Linked DNA regions of Cricetulus griseus. The protein of the gene in region 3 interacts with the protein of the main gene of each other region in a pairwise test. Links are inferred from orthologs where the notes say so. Each region holds a gene or a part of one and is shown on either strand. Other genes may lie near its edges.

What was found.
Region 1: the proteins of Disc1 (region 3) and Nup160 interact in binary tests that used the Homo sapiens proteins (3 or more experiments, as listed by UniProt). The link is inferred for Cricetulus griseus from reciprocal best matches to the Homo sapiens genes DISC1 and NUP160.
Region 2: the proteins of Disc1 (region 3) and Kifap3 interact in a two-hybrid assay, tested with the Homo sapiens proteins (2 studies listed by BioGRID and IntAct). The link is inferred for Cricetulus griseus from reciprocal best matches to the Homo sapiens genes DISC1 and KIFAP3.
Region 4: the proteins of Disc1 (region 3) and Tubb interact in a two-hybrid assay, tested with the Homo sapiens proteins (2 studies listed by BioGRID and IntAct). The link is inferred for Cricetulus griseus from reciprocal best matches to the Homo sapiens genes DISC1 and TUBB.
Region 5: the proteins of Disc1 (region 3) and Rogdi interact in a two-hybrid assay, tested with the Homo sapiens proteins (2 studies listed by BioGRID and IntAct). The link is inferred for Cricetulus griseus from reciprocal best matches to the Homo sapiens genes DISC1 and ROGDI.
Region 6: the proteins of Disc1 (region 3) and Mllt10 interact in a two-hybrid assay, tested with the Homo sapiens proteins (2 studies listed by BioGRID and IntAct). The link is inferred for Cricetulus griseus from reciprocal best matches to the Homo sapiens genes DISC1 and MLLT10.
Region 7: the proteins of Disc1 (region 3) and Ccdc136 interact in a two-hybrid assay, tested with the Homo sapiens proteins (2 studies listed by BioGRID and IntAct). The link is inferred for Cricetulus griseus from reciprocal best matches to the Homo sapiens genes DISC1 and CCDC136.

The regions. Positions count from the first base shown.
Region 1 is NC_048599.1:86,065,750-86,069,249, forward strand, and holds part of Nup160 (nuclear pore complex protein Nup160), read right to left. Parts: intron 2,302-3,500; coding exon 2,202-2,301; intron 1,927-2,201; coding exon 1,761-1,926; intron 1,236-1,760; coding exon 1,108-1,235; intron 606-1,107; coding exon 445-605; intron 1-444. UniProt on the Homo sapiens protein: Functions as a component of the nuclear pore complex (NPC). Involved in poly(A)+ RNA transport.
Region 2 is NC_048598.1:28,515,296-28,518,795, forward strand, and holds part of Kifap3 (kinesin-associated protein 3), read right to left. Parts: intron 2,465-3,500; coding exon 2,409-2,464; intron 1,885-2,408; coding exon 1,743-1,884; intron 1-1,742. UniProt on the Homo sapiens protein: Involved in tethering the chromosomes to the spindle pole and in chromosome movement. Binds to the tail domain of the KIF3A/KIF3B heterodimer to form a heterotrimeric KIF3 complex and may regulate the membrane binding of this complex.
Region 3 is NC_048596.1:201,882,762-201,886,261, reverse strand, and holds part of Disc1 (disrupted in schizophrenia 1 protein), read right to left. Parts: intron 2,085-3,500; coding exon 1,849-2,084; intron 1-1,848. UniProt on the Homo sapiens protein: Involved in the regulation of multiple aspects of embryonic and adult neurogenesis. Required for neural progenitor proliferation in the ventrical/subventrical zone during embryonic brain development and in the adult dentate gyrus of the hippocampus.
Region 4 is NW_023276806.1:229,740,798-229,744,928, forward strand, and holds the start of Tubb (tubulin beta-5 chain), read right to left. Parts: upstream 2,801-4,131; 5' UTR 2,615-2,800; coding exon 2,558-2,614; intron 1,235-2,557; coding exon 1,126-1,234; intron 759-1,125; coding exon 648-758; intron 536-647; coding exon 1-535. UniProt on the Homo sapiens protein: Tubulin is the major constituent of microtubules, a cylinder consisting of laterally associated linear protofilaments composed of alpha- and beta-tubulin heterodimers.
Region 5 is NC_048600.1:41,686,745-41,690,775, reverse strand, and holds the start of Rogdi (protein rogdi homolog), read right to left. Parts: upstream 2,801-4,031; 5' UTR 2,693-2,800; coding exon 2,648-2,692; intron 2,555-2,647; coding exon 2,483-2,554; intron 1,721-2,482; coding exon 1,638-1,720; intron 1,501-1,637; coding exon 1,446-1,500; intron 836-1,445; coding exon 755-835; intron 1-754.
Region 6 is NC_048596.1:215,139,754-215,143,253, reverse strand, and holds part of Mllt10 (protein AF-10), read left to right. Parts: coding exon 1-40; intron 41-771; coding exon 772-868; intron 869-3,500. UniProt on the Homo sapiens protein: Probably involved in transcriptional regulation. In vitro or as fusion protein with KMT2A/MLL1 has transactivation activity. Binds to cruciform DNA.
Region 7 is NW_023276806.1:198,400,205-198,403,704, forward strand, and holds part of Ccdc136 (coiled-coil domain-containing protein 136), read right to left. Parts: coding exon 3,343-3,500; intron 1,938-3,342; coding exon 1,434-1,937; intron 1,078-1,433; coding exon 865-1,077; intron 16-864; coding exon 1-15. UniProt on the Homo sapiens protein: May play a role in acrosome formation in spermatogenesis and in fertilization.

The DNA.
Region 1 (3,500 bases), on a different chromosome or scaffold from region 3:
TAACTATTAACCCTCTCTTAGAAAAGTTTACACCCACACTCTTGGGTGTCTTTCTTTCTAAGCACCTCTCTTTCTCTAATCCCCATGCTTACAATCTACATTTAAAATGTTTCTTATTAAACTGCAACACTGCACATAAAGTGAGCTAGCTGAATGTCAGCATTTCTCTCTGGGACCTGACTATGGAGGCAGTACACCTCACTCTTCTGAAGTCACAATAGTCTATACCTTCAAACAGCAAGTCAAGACAAACCCTTCCTTTCTTAAGCTGCTTTTGTCAGGAATCTTGTCATGGCAATAATAAAAGTAACCAATACTACTTCTTTCACCTAGAATTTGTAGAACCCCCAGTTAGGCTATGCCTAATACAGACAAATGAATACAGACAAGTCTCTGGCTCTCCAGGTTTGAGAGTCTACAAGTTTTCCCACAAGTAGTACTTACTGCATCTCCTAGCCTTGTTAACAGCTGCTGTAAGATTAAGAGGTCTCGGCAGATCAGGAAACGAGTGCTGGCAATTTTATACACACCTCTGCACACAATATACCCTGCTGTGCTACTACCATAGAGCTGGGAAAGATTCATTCGAACATTCAAAGGTTGAGCTGTAACATAAAAAATGAAGTTAAAGGCTGGCAAGATGGCTCAACAGGTAAAGGAACCTGCTGCTAAGCCTGATAAGCTGAGCTCATTCCCAGGGACCCATGCAGCAGAAAAAGCTGACCCACAAGTTGTCTTCTGTGCACCTCTGCATGTGCACCATGGCATATGTGTGCATGCACATACATAAAATAAATAAATACAATAATCTAAAAAGGAAAAATGGAATTAAACATGTCACTTAAATTTTTATTATTATTTTTAACTATTTTTATTATTATTTTTAACTATGTATATGTGTGTCTATCTCTATGTGGGTATGTGCACATGAGTGCAAGTGTCCACAGACCAGAGACTCAGATCCCCTAGGCTTTGAGTTGCCTGATGTGGGTGTTGGGAGGTGAACTCAATTCCTTTGGAAAAACAGTACGTGCTCTTAACCACTGAGCCATCCCTCCAATCCCCAGATCATTGTTTTATACAAAGCACACTTGCTTTGTTGTTTACCTGGATCAAATCCCTTTTCCATTTCGACTTCTGTTTCATAATCCATTTCCCGTATAAGAAGTCCAATGGCATGGACAGGGTTTCTGATCTCTTGCAGTTTACTACAAATGTCTTCCATCACATTTTCTCTACATGACAATTAGAAAATTCCTGTTACTATTGACAACATTCAAGGCAGGTTATATGTGTGCTCCCCTTAGTGAAGTAGTGGAGACAACTATTCAGGCACAAGATACTCAGAGTCCACATAAAACCACCTTCAACTTCTTAGGAATGACCCACAAAATGAACACAAGGAAAACATTTGCATTTTTAAAAATATCCAGCTCAATTAAGGGCTTTAAGAAGTATACTTTATGAGTTTGTTTTCCAGACCTGAATAAATATGCTAACTTTGCCCCATAACATCTAAAACAGAGGCTGTGGTGTAGTTTAGTGGCAGATCACTTGCCTAGAATGCAAAGGTCTTCCCCAGCATACCTCTCTCTCTGTCTCTGTCTCTCACACATACACAGATCTATGTAGACTCAAGAAAAATCACTTTAACATTAAACCATGACTTTTTATAAACTTGACCATATATTAAAAAATATGTGATAACAAACACTGCTGAATTCCATTAGGAAATGCACTTTACCCTAAATTCTCCTTACACATCAATAGTGATCAAATCTTCCAAAATTTGCTCTGCAGCCTTTTCTGGAGACTGTAAGTTGTAACAACTGGTTTCCATCAAAACTGCCATATCCATGGTAACTGACTCTCCAATCATCCGGAGGCATTTTATAAGACATATGACATCCCGGGCCACATCAGCATCTACAAGGGAAGAGAATGTTAACACTGATGTCTGAAGCCATGAAGGTCTGTTGAATAATACATTAAAAGAGGCATCAATGGCTTGATGGGAGGGATCCCTTTCCCATAGCATAGGTGTTTACACCTTTCTAGCTTAAAAAAAAAAAAAAACTTCAGTAAGGTAAAATCATAAACACAGATCACAGTGGTGACTAATTATTTTTGTGGCCATCTGAAATAAAACATAAGGTTCATGTAGGAAAGGGGTCAACTATAGACAGAACAATTATTATTACCATCTGATATGGTTGTTTCATCCTCTGTCAAAAGGTGCTCATCAGGCAAGAGATATAAATGATCTACTAAGGAAGATGGTACCAGGAAAGACAGGTATCCCTGAAAATACAAACCGTTCAGTTATTTCTTTTTTAATAATTCAAAAAGAAAACATGCAAAGTAACTCGTAATTCATAATGCATCATATAGACAACAAATTATATTGTACATAATATTTATAAATAATTCTATGTCATTTTTAAAAATTGGAAGTGGCCAGCAGATATAGCTCAGTGGTAGAGGGTTTATCTAATACTTGCAGGCCTCAGGTCTGAGGCTCAGCAGAGACAAAGAAAGACAGAATGATAGCAAGGTAGGTCTTCATTTTTATGTGTGTCTATGTATTTGTATTTATTTGTTCAATTGAGTCCATGTGTGAGTGCATGTGTGTGTGTATATATGTATGTGTGTCTACAGGATAACCTTGGCTGTAATTCTCAGGAATGCAGTCCACCTCCTTTGAGACAGGTTTCTCACTGGCCTGGAAATCATAAATTAGGCCAGACTGTCTGAGAAACATGGCCTCAGGATCTACCTGTTTCCATCTCCCCACTATTAGGACCACAAGCATGTACAACAACAACTGGCATTTCTACATGGGTGCTAGGGTCTTTCTGCTTGCAAGGCAAACACTTTACAGACTGAACTATCTTCCTAGACACTGATTCATGAGGAAACACAAAATCAAATTGAAAGATTACATAAAACATATGTAGTCTTCAACCAGAAAGATGATGGCTCAATAGGTAAAGATGCCTGCTGCTAAGGTTAGCTACCCGAGTTTAATCCTTGGCATATGTGTGCCTACACAGACATAGTAAACAAACTAAAGATGTAGTTACAGTGTCAATGTCATAAAAGGTAAAGAAAACTTGGTAACATTGAGAGTATGCTAAGGAACAACTAGGACCAGCAAGGTGAGATGGTTCAGCAGACAAAATGCTTGCTTCACAAGCTTGACAACCTGGGTTTGATCTCTGGAACCCAGAACAGAAGGAGAGGTATGACTCCAAGGTGTGAATAAATACATTTAAGATCTAATATACTGGAGATTAGAGAGATGGCTCAGAGGTTAAGGGCCTTTACTGCCTTTGCAGAGGATTTGGATTTGGTTCCCAGCACATACACCTGTGGCTCACAACTGTCTGTAATTCCAGCTCCAGGGGAATCCAATACCCTTGGCACTGACAGGCAGCCTTACGCACATACACACATATAAAAATGATAGATGGGTGGTGATGCATGCCTTTAATCCCAAA
Region 2 (3,500 bases), on a different chromosome or scaffold from region 3:
ATTAATGAATATTTGGAGATTTAAGTAAATATGAGGTCAGTTTTAAGTGAGTTATTAGGAGGCTTTTTCTTTTTGCATAAGTATGTACTTGTGGTTCCTGCGTGTTTGCCCATGTGTGAGCACACATACACACAGAGGCCAGAGGCTGACACTAGGAGTCTTTCTCAATTGTTTGCCACCTTATTCCTCGGGGCACACATTCTTAGCTGAATGCAGAGCTCTGCAGATGTCTACTGTAGCTAGCTAGCTTGCTGTGGGAATTATATGTCTGCATCAGAATTACAAATGGGATGCCACTCCCACAAAGCATTCATGTGAGTGCTGGCCACCTGGTGCTGACCTCACCCACCTTGTGCTATGCAGGCAGACCTCACCCAGAATGTTCATCCTAGCCTCTTCCCTCCCTAGACGTTTAGCTCCCAGTTAATGGAAGCCATCCCCAGGAGAGCTGTCACATGTACTGCTGACCTCTTTGCTACCTCGGCCAGAGACTACACTGAATTCTAGACTATTTAGCTATGGAAACCACCCTGATGGCCACTTGTATCTGTCATCCTCATGGTCACTTGTATCTGTAGAAGAGTTTCTATAGAGACAGACCCTAAGCTTTATTGTGCATCTGGAACGGGACTAATTGTTGCCTGAAAACTTTTGACCAAATTATAATGTGTGTTTTAAATACGCTGACAATGAACTGCCTGGCATCAGACTCCCCACGTTTGATCCAAGTCGATGAAGCCAATCCGAACTGAGTTTTTATTCTCACATCTTCGAAGATCACTGCCTGAACTGACACCTACAGGGACCCCCTCAGCCACCTGCCTGTAAGTTGATCACTGGGGCAAGCTAACTAGCTAAACTAGTCATATCCTCAAGCTCTGGGCTCAACTGAGAATAAGGTAGACAGGGATTGCTCCAAGCCCTAGGCCAATACACAAACATAGGAGAATGTATACTTCTACAAACAAGTGTGCTTATGCACTTGTGAACATGCATACAAAGATGCACAAACCCCCAGCACACATATGCAAGAAATATATCATTAGTATTATTACAAATGAGTGAGGAATGAAAAGAGTAAAAGGGTATATTGGAACAAATTTCTGTATACTGTTAAAATTAAGTTGGTTATAATTTGAACAAGAATTGTTTGAAATTGTCAATTATAATGTCAGGACATCACTAAGATAATTTCTCAAAAAAAAACCCAAATTATCAAAAATTAGCTTAAAATGATAAACTAGAAAATACCCAGTATAGAAGAAAACAGAAATACAGTAAAAGAAAGGTTAAGAATCATGATAAAAATTTTCATAATTTAAAAATATAGAAACATGTTAAAAGTTTTGTTATTCAAAGAAAATACAAAATGACAAAACCTCCCTTGTGGGCATCACATCAATGTTAAATAGACTAAACACATGGATTCAAGAATGCATGGTGAGCTAGTTATATGATAATTCCAACAAACTCTTGAGATTCAAAAACACAAACAGGGTGAAAATAAAAGAGTGGATAATAGACCTACCATGGAAAGAGAGAGGGAGAGGAAGATAAGTAGTAGATTAAAAGTATTCCTAATATATAGAAGAAAAAAGAAAATTCAGGCTATAAGTATTTAAGACTTGGAAACATGTATATGGGCATTTGTATACATAAAATATTTAAGATCTAAATACAAACTTAAGGGTAGGTTTATTTTACATAATTTTCTATTTTTAATATGTAGATAGAAAATTCACCATTTAATAGTAGTTCTTCCAAGTTATCAGGATTTCGAGCCAGCTGTAGGATCAAGGCAGATCCCCGAACCTTGTCTGGAATATCTTCATACAACAGCTCAATGTACTCGTCCATGTCGTTAATGTTGGCCACTTCATCAATCTGAAACACAGGCAGGAAGCACTCAGCAGCTCTGAGAGACAGCAACACTGCCAGATGGATGCTATTTTGTGATCAATATATTACTTGGAACAATTCCCAAAAAATGGATAATAGTTATCTTTATGTGGATGGAAATTTTAGCCCTTTGTGTACTAGAATGCTAATATTAAATTATAAGCACAATAAAGTGGAACATATATAAACTCTACAATTTGTCTCTCAATGTATTTTAAATGTAATACAAAGCTATTTGTACCTATAATAAAAGATTAAATACTTTACATTTTATTTTGAAATGTTTAGAATATTTTTGCCACTTATTTTAATAAAATTAAAATATGTTAAAAAGCACTACAAACAATTTTTTATTTTATAAAGTAAGCATTGATTTTTCTGCCTTTTTAAGGTATCTCTAAACTGAACCATTTAAGATCTCACATCTGAACATGACCATATGCATTACTGAAAGTAAAGGTGATGTCTGTAGTGTTTTGTGTAGTAGATCAGAATTCATACAGGCTTACCTCCATCCCTTCAAAAGGAGGTGGATCCTTAGGCTTGCTTGATTTTTCTTTTTTTTCTGTAAAACAGATTTAAAAAGAAACCTGAAAATTAGGTTTTAAGGTTTGAGGAGTAATTATTTTTAGTAGTTGAGATTAATGCTGGCTAAGCTGGGGGTATAAAACTAAATATTTGATGAATTCTTTCAGTGTGTAAAAATTAGCTATTTGTTCTAATGATGCTATCAAGGAGGACATAAACCAATAAAATCCATGACAAAACTTATACTTCGTTTAAGATGGGAATAGTTATCAATAAGACAAAGAAAATGGTCTAATAATACAAAAATGAATTCTAGGTAAACTAAAGTTAACATGTAACAGTAAGAAATAACAGCTAAACTATAAGTTGAAATAAATAAGGTGAATGATTTTTGTCTGATAAGTGATATAAGGGACATAAATCAAAATATGAGTATTTGATATTTACATCAACTTAATACTTATGTAATCCCTAGCAGGCATTCAAAGGAACTGAACACATCTTTGGGCCATTTAGTATACTATTCAGTTAAAAGTGTATTTTCATATTCTAAATAGAAACAATGCATACATAAGTAGATAAATTAGAAAAACTCAAATGAATGTATAATTAGCAATAAATATAGATTTGAGACTTGACCCTTACTGGGGACTACTTTGAAAGAAGAAGGGAATCGGCAAGGGTCATGAAAAGATGCGAGAAGTAAATATGAGCACCATATTCACGTATCAGACTGTCATAATAAAAACCATGGTATTATGAAAATTACATACAATAATACATGCTAATAAAAAGAAATACAGCTATGAAGTATGAGTGACAGGAAAAAATGAGAAACATGCTATTGACAATAAAAATGTTAGGAAGGCCTATTCTTTCAAAGAGACATAAATAAATGCTGAATTTAAAAGGAATTAACCATTTCAATTTTCAGAGGCAACATCCATGAGAGATAAGGGCTTATCTTCAAAAGCTAAATTATGTCTCAAACAGATAATTATTATAATAGTAGTTTTGATTAGCAAAGAAAAAGAAATCACTTAAGCAATGAATCACAGTGTCACAATTTACTA
Region 3 (3,500 bases):
TTGCACTTGACTGATGCCAGAAAGCACCTGGAGTCTGAAGCTGGCTTCCATTGATGGTGTCGAGTTTGTGAGTGACAACAGCTGCCATGTTGATCTAGCCAGGTGTGGTGATGAGTCCCAGAACTCAAGAGGTGGAAACAGGAGGACAGACAGCCACAGTGAGGCTAGCTGAAACTAAAGAGTCTCCCCAAACAGTCAGCCAGAAATCACAGAATGAGGATCCCCACAGGTAGGGAGCACAGTGGCCCAGCAGAGTCCTAAGCCCTGACTGCACATCCCTGCCCATCCACAAGCACTCCTTTCCCACATGTGTAAGTGTGTCTTCCATGTGTCTCCAAAATGAGATTGAAACCCCTTAAGAGCAACAACTTAGAGGGCAGAAACAGGAGGATCCCTAGTTCAAGGCTAGCCTGAGATATACAGAGAACTAGAAGCCAGCCTGAGGTACATAGTGAGACCCTGTCTTTAAAAAAATTAAATACAACCTAGCAGATGTGTATATGTGTATTTCACAAGCTCTCTGCAGTGTAAAACATAGGAAAGACCCCTTCGTGATAGATGAGACACCACATTTGAGAAAGCAGGAATAGCAGTCTATCTGTTTTTCTCTCCTATTAACACTTTGGGCAGATTATCAATTTTTTAAATTATTAACCTTCTTAAACTACTTTTCACTGTCTGTAAAACAGACAGCATAATTGATGTGACCCACAAAGTAGCTCTGCCCAGGACCAGGCATTTGACATTGCTTAGCCAGCAACAGCAGCAACACAAGCTCATTCATCCCAGTGACCTGATAAAAAAATACTGCTTATGTTGCCCTCTTGGTTTATTTGTTCATTTGTTTGGAGTTTTTGTTTGGTTTGGTTTGGTTTGGGAGTTTTTAATTTGGTTGGTTGGTTGGCTGGTTGGTTGGGTTTTTTGTTTTGGTTTTTTGGGTGTGTGTGTGTGTGTGTGTGTGTGTGTGTGTGTGTGTGTGTGTGCGCGTGCAGAGGGAGGGTCATATATCTTCCTCAATCACATTCTGTCTCATCTTTGTAATATAGGGTCACTGAACCTGGAGCTCATTAATTCAGCTAAACTGGCTAGCCAGCAAGCCTTAGGGATCCTGAGTCTGCATTCTCAGAAATGGGGTTACACTGCACCCAGATTTCTATGTGGGTTCTGGGGATCCAAGATCAGGTCCTTGCGCTCATGCAGTAAATACTTTTGTAACTGAAAATCTCCCCAGCCAGCTCAGACTCTTCCGATGCCACAGCCTACCCCCCAAGTCACACTCTTCCAACGCCATGCCCTACCCCCCAAGTCACACTCTTCCAATGCCATGCCCTTTCCCCCAAGTCACACTCTTCCAATGCCATGCCCTTTCCCCCAAGTCACACTCTTTCAATGTCACATCCCATCCCCCAGGTCACATTCTTCCAATGCCATGCCCTATGCCCCAAGTCACACCCTTCTGATGTCACACCCTACCTCTTAGAAGTGAAATCTCTTTCCAGATAATTGTCTTCAGCAAAAGCCAATGTCAAAATCTCTATCCAACTGACCCCAAATTTGGGAGGGAAGGGGAAAGGAGAGACAAGCCAGCCCCTTGGAATTTTGGAAACTGCCTATTGGAGAGGGGACAGTGCTGGCAGCTAGGGATTGGGTGGACTGGATGCCAAATAACTCCCAGTGCTCAGAACTGACCCCGCAGTGAAGAATCTTACATCTCAACACCACCAGCACTTCCACTAAGCAAACAAACCACCTGAGAAGCACCTGTGAACAATGAATGGGCAGCAAAGCCATCTCAATAAACAGGTGAAAGAGGGAACGCTGGAAAATCAGTTAGAAAATCACCAATACCTCCTAAGGGTTTCAGGTGGCTCCACACAGAAAGGAGCCTGGCTGGCAGAGGTCAATGTCTCTCCCAAGGCCTTGCTGACTTCCTGCAGCTGTCCTGGGGACAGCTGGGCCACCAGTGGCATCAGATCACAGCCCTGCCACTGGAGCAGTGTCTCCTGATCCTCCAACTCTTGGCTCAGCTGTTGTTCTTTTGCCTCCAGCGCAGACATCCTTGATTGGAGAGCTTCGATTTCCTTCTGCAGAGAATGGGGGAACAGATTTCATCCATTAACCCTGCTCTGCTACTAATGAATCGGTTAAATGAGAGCAGGCCATATGCACCACAATCTCGGAGCCCACCCCACTCTTCCGAGGCAGGCCAATTCCAGAAGTCTGCTGAACTGGGAAAATCATGCCAGTTTTATGTTTCTGATGAGTTGGCAGGAAGAAAAACATCCTCTCCTTCCCAAGCATTAAATACGGACAAGCGCTAGCCAAGGTTTTGACTTGAGAGAACCCAGCAAATGATGTATCACTGGCTTCGCTTCTGATGGGGAAGCAAAGGCACTAGCCACTCACACCAAACACTGAGACACCAGCTGTGGGCCAGGAGGGGAAAGGGCAGCCTGCTCCCAAACACAAGAACTTAGGATGTACAAAAACACAAGAACCTTGGCTTGTCGGGTCAATAGGATTGGGAGAACAAGATTTGTCGAGCCAGAGTCTAGTGTCCTTCAGACTGTTGGACCAATTTACTTCCCAGGATTGGTGAGAGAACTCCATCAGTCAAGTGCTTGCCATGCAAGCATGAAGAGCTAGTTCTGATACCCAGAACCCATGCAAAAGCTGGGGACCCACAGAATGAATCTGCAAACCCAGCATAGGGTAAGGGGAGGTAGAAGACAGGAGGATGCCAGGGACTTGCTAGCCAGCCTGTCTAGCCCAATCAGTAAAGTGTAGATTCAGTGAGAAACCCTGTGTCAAAAAAATAATAATAATAAGGTAAAGGGATATTGGAGTAAATATCAAATATCAACTTCTGTCCTCCACATACATGTGCACATACATGCACCTGTGCCCACATTCAAACTCAAACACACACACACACACACACACACACACACACACACACACACACACACACACACACACAATTTGCCCTAATTTATTAAGCTGGAATCTAAGTTAATCCATAACCATCATCTGTCTCCAGGCCAAGAAATAAACAAGCAGCAGGTAATTGAACACAGTGTGAGCTCAGCACTGGGCAGATAGCCATCTCACTGCGTAGGAGTCTGAATATAACACCAGGCTCTACTAACGGACACACCCCCTGTTCCCTCACTGTTCCTAGCTGATAAGAGTACAGCTTAATTCCTGATATCTCCCTATCTCCAGGATGTTCTCTCCACCCACAGTGCAGATTCTCCACAGCTTCTACCTCCTGCACCCACCCAGAGAAGAGAGAGGGCTGAGCTAGCCCACAGTCTCAGTGTGCTCAACAGAAACTCAAAACTAACCACTCTGTGAAACCCACACTCTTTGTTGCTCTCATTTTTGTTTTGTTTTGTTTTGGTTTGGTTTTGGTTTTGTTTCTCAGAGTCAACATCTCACTCAGTAACTAGCCCAGAACTCATCTTATAGCCCAGGCTTGAACCTATAGCAATAAAGCC
Region 4 (4,131 bases), on a different chromosome or scaffold from region 3:
GCAAAGCCAGGCATGAAGAAGTGGAGACGTGGGAAGGGGACCATGTTGACCGCCAACTTGCGGAGGTCGGCATTGAGCTGGCCTGGGAAGCGGAGGCAGGTGGTGACCCCGCTCATGGTGGCCGAGACGAGGTGGTTGAGGTCCCCATAGGTCGGCGTGGTGAGCTTGAGAGTGCGGAAGCAGATGTCGTACAGGGCCTCGTTGTCGATGCAGTAGGTCTCGTCGGTGTTCTCCACCAGCTGATGGACAGACAGGGTGGCATTGTAGGGCTCCACCACGGTGTCAGACACTTTGGGTGAGGGTACCACACTGAAGGTATTCATGATTCGGTCGGGATATTCTTCTCGGATCTTGCTGATGAGCAGGGTGCCCATACCAGAACCGGTACCTCCACCCAGCGAGTGGGTCAGCTGGAAGCCCTGCAGGCAGTCACAGCTCTCTGCCTCCTTCCGCACCACGTCCAGGACAGAGTCAACCAGCTCAGCTCCCTCCGTGTAGTGACCCTTAGCCCAGTTGTTGCCTGCCCCAGACTGACCTGGAATGTGGTGAGAAGGGAAAAAAATTACGTCATTATCATTACTAATCTTCACCTTTCACCTCTGGAATCATGCCCTTGGGTACAAAGGAATTCATTCCATGTAACTCACCGAAAACAAAGTTGTCTGGTCTGAAGATCTGGCCAAAAGGACCTGATCGAACGGAGTCCATGGTCCCGGGTTCTAGATCCACCAATATGGCCCGAGGGACATACTTGCCACCTACAGGGATTCAAGTAGAACTGTCAGAGCCCTCTGCAGCGAGGATGAAATCTGGGGTGGGAAATACCACAAACCACTAAACTGCCATTCCAGGCACTGCCACCCGGCGGCAGCAGAGCTAATCTTTGGCCCACTTATGGTGGGTGTCTAATGGAAAAGGGTGAGACCCCAGCAACCGGGTTAACAGGCACTTAACGTGGGAAAACAGGGCGTGGTGCGGCCGCCTTTAAAAGCAGCATTAGGGAGGTAAGTTCCAGGGCAGCCATGGCTGCATAACGAGACCCTGTCTCAACAGAAGGGCGCAGGGTTTAAAAAGACCAGGGATAAGTGTTAACAGAGAAAAAAGAAGCTGGATTCCCTCCCTCACCTGTGGCTTCATTGTAGTACACAGAGATTCGGTCCAGCTGCAGGTCGCTGTCTCCATGGTAGGTGCCGGTGGGGTCGATGCCGTGTTCATCGCTGATCACCTCCCAGAACTAGACAGAGCAATGAGCAATGAGCCAGGCCTCAATGGCTGAAGTCCTAAGGGATGCCTCCCCGCCCGCATTTCAACTCTAGACGTGCTCAAACGAGGCGGACGGGTTGATACTGCAATTCCGTTATCTGCCTGCCGAGCCTCCACGACCGAACCTCCAACCGGGGAAGGTCGCCACCTTTGTGGCCCTGGTCAAGTGATGGACAGTTCAAGGGGCTGAGGGTTGCAAGCACCCATATGGGCTGACTGAACTGCCATCCGCCCCCTCGGCTCAGCACCCAGCCAAGCGCTTCAGGGTGGGCACCGCCCCTCCAGGCCAGCACAAAAGAGGGATGGGGTAGGAAGGTGCGGCCACTGCAGTCGCCCACCCCTTACGCGTTCCACGTGACTGCGGTGGCGGGCCGCTCTTCCAGCAGCCCACAAAGGCGGGAGCAGCGTGGGCGGGGCCTGGCACGAGGGGCGGGGCCAGCGCGCCCCCGCCAGCAAGGGCTGCATTGTCCCTGCGCGCCAGGGGCGCTAGCCCCGCCCCCAAAGGGTCCCACCCTTCGGCTACAATCTAGCGGCCGCACTTCCTCCTCTCCACCCATCCCCCGCTACATTGTAATTGCGCGCAAAAAAAAAAGAGAAAACCATGGCCTCAGATTTTTTTTTTTTTGCTTTTGCTACCTTCTCTTCCCTAAATAGCTTTCCCCCAAACACACACATAGTCCCGAGGGACCTCTTATAGACACACAAACCTCTCACTTTCCCATCAGGTCACACCCTAAGATTTCTTAACGGCAATGAAGTAAAAGGAGCCCCCCGCACGGAATCATCACCATCCACCTAAAAGCGAGCCAGGGGATGGCGAGATCGCGAGGGTCTCCAAGCCTTTGTCGAGCGGTGATGCGGCCCGGAGACCTCTGCAGCTGCCCGCCCAACCTCTCCCCTGCCCCCGCCAGTCCTGCTCCGCTAAGGCCCTCCAGGCTGGGTGGGGGTGGCGCAAGGGGAAAACCTCGCTTCGGCTTTGTCTCGGATCGTTTCCGCATCTCTCCTCTCCCGTTCTCGAACCGTTAGAAATCCCCTCTTTTAGATAAGCACTCCAGTCCCTCCTCAGACTCTCCGTCCCCTAAACCCAGGCGTCTCTTTTAATGGCTTTCGGAAAATGTGCCAAGATAAATATTTCTCAGAACGCAAGCTACAAATATGGGTTATAATTGTTCGCGCAGAACTTTGAGGGGCCAAAGCCGGCGGAGGGAGAATGCTAACACCCGGTAACATTAATCATGATTAACCTGGATTTCTCATCCTCACGCGTATCCGGTACCAATTTAAAAATTCTTACCTTAGCACCGATCTGGTTGCCACATTGGCCGGCCTGGATGTGCACGATTTCCCTCATGGCTACGGTTTACTGTAATAAATTTGTGCTGGCTTCAAGGTAGGTACCGAGCAAGAAAAGATAATTGGTTCTTTTTTTTTTTTTTTTTTTTTTTTTTGGCTGGTCTCAGGCTGAAGGGATGGAACGTGGCTCCGGAGGCTGCAGCAGAGAGATGCGAGCACGACCGCAGGAAGGTTCTAAGAGGCAGAAGAGGCCGGCGAGCGCAGGAGGGAAGGCGCGCAGGGCGGGGCGCGCGTTCGCGCAGCCGGGGGCGGGAGATAGGCGGGAGCCCCTGGTCGCAGACAAAGCCTCTCCAGCCTGCCGCTGATTAGATCCGCCGATCACGTGCCAGCCGACCATTGGTCTGTGAGCCAGTGGCGAGCGCAGTCCTTTTTGGGAGTTGTAGTTCTCTATTGTCCACGCTGCAATATGAAGTTAGGCATGGGTGGATACTGTGGGAGGTTTAGTGGGTACCTTTCGTGTGGGTGTGATTGTATTTATTTTTAATGGAAAGTGACCTCGCACGAGATTCCTATCCTCTGTTCCTGAGAGAGGTTTTTGTGCTCTAAGAAGTTTTGGGACTTAACGGTAATTGGGATGTCTGAGGTGCCCTGAATTGGAGATGGGATGGGCGCGCCCTGCAAGCTGCCCACCGCAGTGGCTCTGGTAAAGGCGGACTGCATAGCTCAGCGGAAAGTCCGGAGAAATGTGGCACCCTGCCCTGATCTTACTATCTAGTTCTTTGTGGTCCCAAGACAGTAACTTCAGTGAGCAGCACTCCCTCGCATCCCTCCAGAAGAAAGGATGGCCCTCCGGCTCCTAAGGGAGTTGTCCCAAGGATGTTTCGAGAGAGAAACAAAATTGCAAGGATTTTTCAGACTAGAAGTGTTGCTTGGGACCGATGTTCAGAGAGAGAGAGAAAGCTGTAAACCTCGGCGGCGGGGGTGGGGTGGGGTTGGGCCTTTGGGACCACGCTGAAGACACCATGGTCGTCCTATCAATACAGACGATGAAATGGGATGCTTCTCAAGACACTTGGGTGAAGGAAGCCAAGTGGTCGTTTTCAGTTGGTTGGTTCTATTCGTTACGGGAGGCTGTGGCAGAGTCCAGGAACTGAGAAATGGGAGTCAGAGCCCAGAAGCTTTTCCCAGGGTTTCATTTGATAGAAACTGAGTATCCTGAAAGTGTAAGAGGGATACAAAATGATTCTAAGAGTCAGCAGGGGTGGTTCACACGGTTAACACCTGCTTTGTAACTCCAAGGCAGGAAGATCTCAGGAAGTACAAGGTCAATTGGGCTACTTAAGAGAGTTCCTGTACAGCCCGAGGTACAGCTTTAGACCCAGTTTCAGAATAAATAAATAATAAATAAATGAGTGGAAAATTAGTTTGTGTCCAACCTCCCACACAGTAGGATGGTTGAGGCAGAAGGATTCTTGTACGCTGAAGGCTAACCTGGTCTACAAAGTGAGAGCCTGTCTTGAAAACAAACCACACACGGGGCTGGAGAGATGACTCGGCAATTAAGAGCATTTGTCC
Region 5 (4,031 bases), on a different chromosome or scaffold from region 3:
AATACCCTCCAGAACTGTAGTCTTTGAAACTGGATGGCTAGGCCTCGGACAATCCTGGCTGCCAAGGCACACTGGCTCTTGGCACTGCAAAAGACAACCCCTAGTACAGCCGCAAAGTAATAAGCTTGCAGGGCTCAAGGGAGGAAACAAGCAAGGATGGGAGAGACCTGAGAACTAAGAAAGGCCACAGGATTGGGTGGTGGAGCACACCTTTAATCCCAACATTCGGGAGGCAGAGGCAGGTGGATCTCTGAGTTCAAGGCCAGAGAAAGTTCCAGGACAGCTAGGGATATACAGAGAAACCCTGTCTCAAAAAACCAACCAAACAAAAAACCCCACAGGAGTGGGAAAGAGTGGGGCCTCAGAAAGAGCAACACACATAGACAAAGGCCCTGGGGTATGGACCAGCTTTAGGCCAGGTTGTGTGTATACATGCCCATGTGTTTCCTGTGGTCTATGAGTAGGAAAGAGGCCTGTGTATGATCCCAGATACATGGAAAGCCAGTCTTGAGTAAGTGATATTCAAAGGAACCTTTAGCTGTCCTTACATAGCCAAAGTCACTAAGGTAGGGCCAGCTTCACATCCCTCATGTGGAGCAGGCTCTAGGGCCCCAAGGCACCACCACCCTAGTTCTGCTAGGAAACAGCCTATGTTTGCTGTGGTCAAAGTCCCTACTGCCAGACTTCCCCATGAAAGGTAACACCAGGGAGCCCTTTGCTGGGGCCTGACTCCGGTTGGGCAAGGGATCCTCACCTGTTGTAGTTTCCATTGCTTGTCCTCCCGGAAGGCGAAGTGTAACAGTTGGTTGTTCCGAGGCATCTTCAAGTTCACATCCTATGGGCCAGAGTGTGATAAGCAGGCAGAGGTACCTACCCCTATGCTTCCTGACAGGAATGCAGTAGATGGGTGGCTGAGGCCCCAGGCACTTTGGAGTTAAGTGATCAGGAATGTCAAGAAATAGGAACCCAAGCCCAGGAGAACCACAGAGCAGCGAAAAGGAAAGGAAGTTGAGAAAGGGGAAGGTCTAGAGGGGAGGGGAGCTCTGTAAAATCAAGACTGAGCCACAGGGAGGGACTGTTCCCATGCCTTAAGGCCTTGCATAGTCCAGATTTGAATTGCTCAGATGTTGAGCAATTCAACTTTGATCCAGGGCCAGCATGCCTAGGCTGCTAATGCTCACATTTCACAGGGTACAGATGCCAGGCTGTGCTAAGGGTGAAGCCACCCACTCCTTGCACCTCGTACAAACTATATGCCTATCTCATGAGGTAGTGTGAGGGTTGCCTGTCAAATGACAGACATACAAGGAAACAGCTCCAGAGAGGATAAAGTTCCTGTCATAGTCATGCAGCTAGCTGGTGGCAGAGCTAAGAGGCTGTCCTCATCACCAGCAGGGCTGTTATGGAATAGGGCCCCCGGGGGTGGGGGTGGAGACACAACTCACCGCCTGGCTGAGGGCATCCCCTTGCAGAGTCAGCACACCCTTCACCTGGTCTGTGCTATAACACACAGAAGTCAGAGGGGTACTCCCTCCCCTCCCCCTCCCCCTGCAGGCTGTTTCATAGCAACACCAGCATTCCCTCCCCCAGGTACTCCAAGAGTACCCTCCCAAAAGCTCCTGCCCAACCCAGCTCACCCACAGCTGCCTAGGATGAAGTTCTCCTGTTTGGTAGGTCCCTCTGTGCTGGGTCCTGGGAGAGTGAAGCGGAGAGAGGCCTCCTGTGGAAGACAGGGCAGTCCCAACACCTCAGTCTGGCCAGTACTCCATTCCAAGGCCCTAGATACCTTGCCAGATTAGCCAGGAAAAGGACAGGCCTTACCTGGCTCCTCTGCCTTTGCCCCACCAATCCTCCAAGCCTCTGTGCGCTCACACCTGTTCATTTCATGGTCCTGAGTAGACCAGGTAAGAACACAGAATGGAGAGGCACATTACCTAGCTAACTGGAGTGCAGTGATGCGGTGTTAGGGGCAGAGGCATGGAATTATGCAGTAGTCAGTCATGTTTTCCTAGATCACAGTGCTAGGCATTTTGTGACATGGTTTATTCATCTTCACAACAGCTCTGTGAGCCTGATTAGGGGGAGGGAACAGGCTCAGAGATGTGGGTAACTTGGCTGAGATCACACTGCAGGGCAAGGCATCCTTCAGAGCTCGAATTGTCAGTTTTGTTTTGAGACCGTGTTTCATGATGAAGCCCACGGCTTCGTGATCCTCTAGCCTCACCTTCTCGAGTGCTGGGATTACAAGCTCTCACCACCACTCTGCCCATAGACGAAATGTCACTGTTTCAAAGTTAGTCTCACTTAAGACCCGGTGTTAACCCTGGGGTCTAAGACCTCGCTGCACACACACGCCACCTTGCCTGCGTCTGGACTGTAACTCTTCTGAGAGCGTGGGTACCTGAACGCCACCACGCTCAGCAGCCGCCGCTGCGGGACCGATGGAAAGAGGGATGGCAGGCCGGGAGTGACCTGCCCTTACCTTGAGGATGTCCTGCAGCTGTCTTAGCACGGCGTGCACCTCAGCGTTCAGCAACCAGCGGAACTCTTCCTCCTGCGGACAGCGCGGCGTCAAACCCTTCAGTCCCGCCGCCCGCGCCCGCCGCCCGCCCGCCGCCGCCGCCCGCCGCCCGCGCCCGCGCCTCACCAGCACTGCCCGCTCCGCGGCGCTCGCAGCCATCGCAGTCGCCATAGCCGCGGCCGCGCGCCGTCTCTGAGGTCTGTAGTCTGGAGCTCGGTGCGCCGCGCCCGCCCCTCCTTCTCCCGTGACCGATTGGGAGATTGGGCGCAAGCCCCGCCCCCAAGCCGGTTCCGCCTCACACAACCAGCTATATCTCCGGGTCCCGCCTCACCAGGAGGCGGACTGGCCACGCTTCGCCGCCCATCCGCCCTTCTTTTAACCCGTGTTTCTCAGTAGGGGCGGGGCGCTACGGCAACCAACATAGCTCTATTGCTTACTGATTGGCCAGCGGGGCCGTCCCTCATTGCGCCGTTCTTGTATTGTTCCGCCAGGTGGCGTCCCGCCCAGCAGGCACGCAGAGGGAGGACTAAGCTGGGCAGATACTGGAAGGAGGCCTGCGCATGGACGCACTCTGGCTCCTACTTTAGGTCCCCAAAGCGCTCTGGCACAAGTGTCACAGCTGTGGTACCAAGAAATGTTTTATTTTTCTTTTTCTTGCAGTAGCTTTGTTAATTGCACAAAATCATGTTTTGTTTTCGCCATTTAAACATTATCACACAATCCTATTCTGAAAGACAAATGCTCATTAAAAACAAAGCGAAAATAAAAATTCACAACCTTAATCACCTAGATTTGTCATTTAAAGGAAAAGGGGGAGGAGGGGCTTTCTTACAAGCATTTTCACAATGTCACATTTTCTCCTTAAAAGGGAAGGATTTCAAAACGAAAGGTGAAATAGCTTAAACAGAAATAGTCATAAAAAGGAACTTTACAGAATTGTCAACAATATTAAGACAACATTGACTAACCGGTTTCCTTACAGTATCTTCCCCACCCCCAACCCCCAGGACCAAGACAGGATGTGTCCAGACAGAAAACAGGTTCAGCATCCCAGTGAATGAGCAATTGTGCTGAACCCCACAAGCATTCTTTGCTCCATGCCCATGTCCTGAGATCTTTATCCCAGGTTCTTCCCAGTGGAAAAATCAAATTCTGGCTTTGGAAATCCAAACTCATGAGGAGGAAGGCAGACACCTCAGGTGATTCCTCTCATGTGGCATTCTAAGCCTCTCTGGTCCCTCTCCAAGGAGACGTGCTAGGGCCTACAGATGACTGGCTCCACCTCTGAGGGGCAGTTAGGTTAGTAGAACAAGGCCCAGTTCTCTTCTGTCCCAACAAACCCAGAGCTTGGAACCACTGCTACTGGCAGAAGTGAGGTTCCACCTCAAAAGCCCAGCCTATGAAGTGCTCATCTATGAAATGTTTATTATTGGTATTGGTTAGGCTGGGTCTGGGCCAAAACAGGATGGGACAGAAATACTATCTCCATGGGAGGAAAAGGGAAAGAGGG
Region 6 (3,500 bases), about 13 Mb from region 3:
ACGCAGCACATCCAATGCCGGCCGCTGCACTGACTAACAGGTAAGAAACTTACAATTTCAGTAGAGTTTAGTTTTTCTTGTTTTATTTTCCGTGCCTCATGTCAGTGTTGTCCTTGTTCTGGGTTAGGATTTTTAATGAATTTTGTAGACGTTCTGTAGGAAGAATAGCTGCCCAAACTCATTGAGTAAGTGAGTATTTGGTACTCATAGTTTTTTTTTTTTCCTTATTAAACTCATTGAGTAAGTGAGTATTTGGTACTCATAGTATTTTTTTTTTCTTATTAGACTGATAAAATTCAGTTCAATATCAGTTTCAGTAACATAATGTTAAAATACATTCTGTGTAGAAAATGTCAGTCCCGATCTGTGGTATCTGTTTTTAAATGTTAGTTTTTCTTCATCCTTCTTTCAGCATGTGTGTATCTTACTCTGCAAAGACATTATTGTGACAGTCATGTGATACTGGTTCTGCAAGATTTAGGAGCACAGTTTTGATATTCTCTAATCAGAGATTTTGATGAAGTAAGGGATAGGTGATTATTACATATGCTTTATTGCAAACACATAAATTGTGTTTCTTAAGTTTGTGCCTATTTAACTTGACAGTGCATTCCTTTTTAGTTGCATACACATGTATAGGCAAAAAGAATAATTTGTACATAATGAAGTGTCTTTGATAAAACTGAGTTCGTTAAATACCTACTGAAGGGACTGCCTTTCGTATCACCTGAAAAGGCTGCAGTAGAAGTAAGGATTGCAATGGTTTTTCAGTGCCTCGGGACTTGGATTACTGTCCGACCAACAGAGACAAATGTTTATCCAGCAGCAGCAATTCCAGCAGCTGTTAAACTCCCAGCAGCTCACACCGGTAAGTTCTCTGTTTTGAAAGTGTGTGTGTGTGTGTGTGTGTGTGTGTGTGTGTGTGTGTGTGTGTGTGTGTGTGTCTGTTGTTGTAGACTAATAAATGTTGATTATGGTGTAGGCTCCTCCATTGTGAATATGTATCCATAAAGTTGTCCTGCCCTTTGATTGTTTTACAAATGTTAGAACATGTATTGCGGTGCTAACTAAGCTCTGGGGATTGGAATTTGAGCAGTATTTTCCTGGTAGTTCACTTTAAGTGATGGTAGTAAGGGACGCAAGTGAGATGTGATGAGGGCATCAAATGGTCCAAGGATAAAGTAAGGTGAGGGCCAATTTATTTCTTTTGTGGTAATGGGAGGAGAACCCAGGGCCTCACATGATAGGTTGGCCTGACTAGCATTCTACCATGGCATTCCATCACCAGTTCCAGTTTGAGATAGGCTTGTCCAGTCTTCTTGGGAGATGGCATTTGAACCATTCTGTCACATAGCTCTAATAGTTAAATCAGTTGTGCTGATCTTGCTTCATTCATGCCCTAGTTTTCTTTCTTTCTTTTAAAGGATTCATCGGAGAATGTTGAACTTGAACAATGATTAATGATAGTGATCAAGGGTTTTTAGAAAGGGTTTTGGGAGGGAAGCAAGATGTGCTCAATAGTAGAAATGGGAATCACTAGCAGGACAGTTGGTATCCTGATGTAGTGCCATCTCTGGTTAGGTAACTGTAGAATTGTAGTATGTTTGAATGATAATCAAAAAGCAAAAGAGGAACACTGAACAGTTGGATGTTGACCTTTACAGACATACAGAGGAACCAAAGGGAAATAGTTTTCCTGAGAAATAGTATTTCTATTATCACGTTCAGTTCATCCTCCCGACCCATCTGTTAATTCCTTTATCTGCAAATCAAAAATAGCAAAAAATGTGCATTTGTACTGGATTACAACACTGTGTAACTATTTATTATTTTCATTATTTTCTTTGTATTTGTAACTATTTATATATTTTCATTGTGTCCTGGTAATGATTTTAAAGTATATGGGAGAGTATACAAGCTAAATACAGACACTATGCCCTGTGTGTGTGTGTGTGTGTGTGTGTGTGTGTGTGTGTGTGTGTGTGTGTGTGTGTGTGTGTGCGTGCTAGGATATTCATATGTATCACTGGTTTGCTTTGAATTCATGTCCTCCAGCCTCAGTCCCCTCAAGTGCTGGGATTTCAGGCATCTCAGCAACTTAGCTTTAACTGTGTCCTAAAAATGTAAGATGAAGTATTCTTCTGATAGTGTATGGGATAGGGTAGCACACACCTATAATTCTGGCACTTGGGAGTTGAAGGCCATACTAACTATATGAGACTGTCTCAAAAAGCCAAAACCTCAGCCTCTTGTTTGCCTTCTATCACCACTGCCATTTGTCCCTGCATGGGAGGTAATAGACTGGTAAGTCGAGTCATTGTCCTGTGACATCGTGACTTACCAGTCACATACGGGCAGTTGGTCTTCTCTCCACCTGCTATGACGTCACGGTCCTACCTAGCTAGTCCTTTTTTGTTTCCCATTTGGGCTTCAAGCTCTTTTCTTCAGCCTTCTTACCTAAAAGTTGAGTTCAGCAATGTCCTTCACTCTCAGATGTTTGTTTCAGTTTGGTCCATGTATAGTTGCCTTCATCTTCAGATTAGAATTCTGTCCAGAGCATCCCACTTTGGATCCCCCACTTACCACATAGCGCACTTGACATGAAGGGCATTTAAACATGTCCCAGCCTGAGCTACCATGCTTGACTGCTCTCCTTTTCCCAACTCCATCCTTTTAGGTGCCTAAGTCAAAACTTGTAGTCTATCTTTCTTTCCTTTTTTTGTTTTTTAACTACATACTACAGTGACTTCATTTACTAGGTGTAGTAGCACACAGCTTTAATTTGAGCATCAGGGACAGAGGTAGGCACCCTGCATAATGAGACCATGTCTGGTCCCACTCCCGAAAGAAAGAAAGGAAGGAAGCTGCCTCCTCTGCTCAAAACTTTCTCTTGACTTTCCAGCTTCCCTCTCATGGTCTAGGTGGGAGCCATGTGCTCTTTCCCCTGCTTACCTGCCTGCCATTGGGCTCTTGTGGGTCCAGAATCTTTGTGCACAAGCTCTCCCTGAGATCCTGGAAATGCCCTCCTTCCTGCTTATCCTCTTTGCTAATGCGGTACCCTCCAAGTCTTTGTCCTGTGTTGACAGAGTAGTTGAATGACTACTTACTGCATTCTCATGGACTTTGTCTACTCTTAGCAATAATCACACTGTATCATTCTTTCTCATTCCCTAGGCAGGCAGGCAACTACCACCATGTATCCCAAATAGCTAATACAGTGCCTATTAGTCAGCACCCAGGAAATCTATCTTGAAAGGAATTTATGCTTGCTGAAAAGAAGAATCCAGAAGTGCAGCAAGAAAACACTTGCTAGGAGTAGAATATTCATTTGGAATATTTCTGTCAGGGCCCCTCCTTGAGAGGCATCTATCTGTCTGGTCCGGCAGACTTATCGGACCGGTGCTTGGAAGGAGGTGTGTGAGTTGAGGAGAGAATTAGACAAGAAGAGTCAGGAGGGAACATCCAGTGACTACTGTGATAATCAGCCCCAAGTTTATTAC
Region 7 (3,500 bases), on a different chromosome or scaffold from region 3:
CTGCAGTTCTTTGATCTGTGGGTGGTGGGATTCCAGTTATCCATGGCAGTCCCACCCAGTCAGCCCAGGCCCTCAAGGGAGCACTGCCTTGCAACTCTCCCTGCTAACGCTTCCAAGTAGACCATGAGACCTAATGCAGATAGCTTTCCTCCTAAGTTGAGGTTAAATGAAGGTCTGCATGGTAAAAAAACTAGTATTAAATCAATAGATATTATGTTTTTGATCATGACCTGTCTGGGGAATAACTACAGGACTACCACCATGTCTGAACCTCAGGCATTTATTATTATCTAATTCTTTTTTCCAGGAACTCCTACTTTACCCAGTCCATTCCTCTAACAGATAGTAACTTAGGGAATTGGTGCATGTACTTGGTTGGGCACCTGCACCTCCCTCCTGGTAACACACAGTTATAACCTTGCCCCTAGTCTCAGGTTTTGTTCTCCTAGGCCTATGGCAGCGTACAGTCTGTTCAATAAGCACCAATCAGACTAGGTTCATGTGGCCATCACTCTTTGGGTCTGTTCTATCTCTCCCAGGCACATATGTAGTGACCCTCCCACTGGACAGTGAACCTGTCCTTGAAGTGCATATAACCTAGTTGAAAAAAAAAAAGACAATGCACTCAAAATAATGAAAGAATATTATAGTGCTCTGGGGGCACAAAGTACTAGAGAGAATAGAAGCAGCAAAGGGAAGAACAGTAGAATGGTTGACCAGTATGCCAGCAGTGAGCACTGTCCATCAGGTACAGCGGACTGTCTGGCCTCCTGGGATTTGGTTTTCCTGCACTGCCCTGCCTACCTTGTTCTCTAAAGTGTTCTAGGGGCTTCGGAGTGGGAGCTCTGCCACCGCAGCAGTTACCTCATTCTTGTCGCTCTGGGAAGCTGCAGGCTTCTCCAGGCACTCCTTCAACTCCTTCTCACAGTCCTCCAGCTCGTGACTCAGCTCTCTCTGCTTCACCAGAAGCCTGTTCATCTGCTCCTGCACCTGGCAGTGGTCCTCCTGGCTCACCTGGTACAGGGCCTTCACAGCCTGCAACTTGGTCAGCACCTTGGCCACTGTCTCCTCAAAGTTCTGCAGAGAGTGGGGGGAGCAATGACAGCACCCCAAGAAGCATTTGATCTCTGCCCTACACCTTGCTAGGCCCATCCCTGGAGCTGCCTAGGGGAGACTGTATTTCTTCCCTGAAAGAATTTCCTGACTGTTCAAAGTCCTGAACCCTGGGGACTTTGTCCAAATCAGGCCACCTATGTCAGGAGCGAGGGGAAGCAGGGCGACCATAAACAGAAGCCTCACATACTTCAAGAAGTCTTCCAGGCCAGCTCTGATCCTACTCCTATCTCACTCTTTTTATGCCCTCCCCCTGGTGATGTTTCTTGCAAAGATAGAAACCCATCTGTCCCTCTGACCAGTCACCTCACAATGGTTACCTCTAGGTCTCCAGGCTCTGCTGGGTCCTCATCAGCAACACTAACATAACTCTTGTGAAAGGTTTCAGAGCTAGCAGTGCTACCATAGCTCTTCTTATAGGCAACACTTGTGTTGCTGGAGCGGTAACTCTTCTGATAGGCCTCATTGCAACTGGCGCTGCTCTCATAGCTCTTGAGGAAGCTGTCATTGCTGGCCTGGGAGCTTACGTAACTCTTTTGAAAGCATTCATTGTCCTCGATGGTGCTGTCATAACTCCTGTTAAAGCTTTCATTGCTGGGGGCCATGCTGCCTGGGGTCTTCCTGTAGGACTCAAGACTCATTTTTATGGTGGGGGACTGACTTTGGAGCAGCTGTATTTCTTCCATGCAGAGCTGTAGCTCAGCCTGCAGCCTCTTCCGCTCCTCCATGAGCCGCCCATGCTCCTGCTGCAGCAGCTCCTGTTGCCTCTGACTGGTGTCATATAGCACCTGCAGAGCCTGCAGCTGGTCCATAAGCACCTTGGACTGGGGAGGGGGGGAGCAGGAGACATCACTATTACTCTGAGACATTTCAGTACTTTCAGCTGCCCCATCTCCTAGGGCAGGTATGAGTGCTCACCTGAGAGAACTGTACATTCACACCACAGTCCAACAAGGCCTCTGTCTCTGACTTAACCTACAGGGACTGGTATATGTCAGCTCTCTGCTCCTTTGGGAAACTCTCCCCAGGGCAGATACTCAGTGATTTTTTTAGGGCTTCTGTTTCTGCTGGTTTCTGACTCTGGCATATACATCTTCTTCCTTGGAGCAGTGTAGGTGGGTCTCAAGAACACCCTGGCTCCCTACCATACCATCATTTTAAATCAAGTATACCCACTATCCTGATCCTCAGTCCTCTCCCCCTCTCTTCATGGTAAAATCATCCCAGCTGGGAATGTGTGAAGATGAATTTTGTCCTTGGAAGATGCAAGCTTGGAATCAAGGTCTTGTTACCCACTAGTCCCTTTACCTTCTGCTAGGATTCTGTATCTGGTCTTGAGGAATGTTTTCCAAGCCCAGTGGATATACAGCACTAGACTAAGGGAACTGATTAAGGGAATAGTTTCTATCTGGTTTCCCAGTCTCTATGCCACCCAGGCTTTTCAGCCTGGATATGTGACACCCCTGCAATGATCAAGCTCCACTGTTTGGACTTCTGCTACTTCCTGGTTCTCCTTGTTCATGTAGCCTGAACTGAAACTGCCTATGTGCTCTACCTCACACCAAATTTATTCCCCAACTCTGAACAGACTAGTATAGAAATTTCTACCTATCTTACCTCATAGGCACCTGGTAGTGCTTGAGAAACACTGATTTTCTGCTATGTCCCTGTGGCCTGGCTTGCACAGTGTAGTCAGTACCATGAGCCTGCCTGCCTGCCTGCCTGCCTGTCTGTCTGTCTGTCTGTCTGTCTGTCTGTCTGTTGCAGCTGCTTTCCTTGCAGGTGACTGGGCCCAGATTTGTTCATGGAGCCTCAAAAGGTTAAAAACTCAAAAAACGGAGAAGTAGACTTTCCAGATAAAACAAAAAAGATGACACATTTAGGGCCAGTCCAAAGGAACCAAAACAAACATTGAATTGATCTCACATATCTTGGAAATGCCATGTTGGTAGGACTGAATCCAGTGGTCAGACAGACTTCTGTGCCCCTTGAACTCTGTTCTAGATGCTGACTACACTTCAGCTCTTAAAGTAAATCATCTATAATTCCAAACATCAGACCAGAGTGTGGGCATCAGCTTATTGGGGCCAATGGAGGCCTCTGACCAGTGAAGGGCAGGCAGGATGTTAGCCTTACCCTGCTTTCTACCCAAACAGGCCTCCTCCTGACTCCACTCTTCCACAGAGTCCCCCTTCCTTGCCACACTGCCCTTCCTTCTGCTGTGGTTACCTTATTCTCACAAAGGGAGGATTTAGGCCCTTTGGTGTCCTGAGGATTCGCCACCACATCGTGGAAACCAGAGTCTGTAAACTCTCGGAGTTCTTTGTGGGCCTCTAGCTGTTCCTTCAGTAAGTTCTCCTGATTCTTTATCAGCTTTCTCTGCTGGT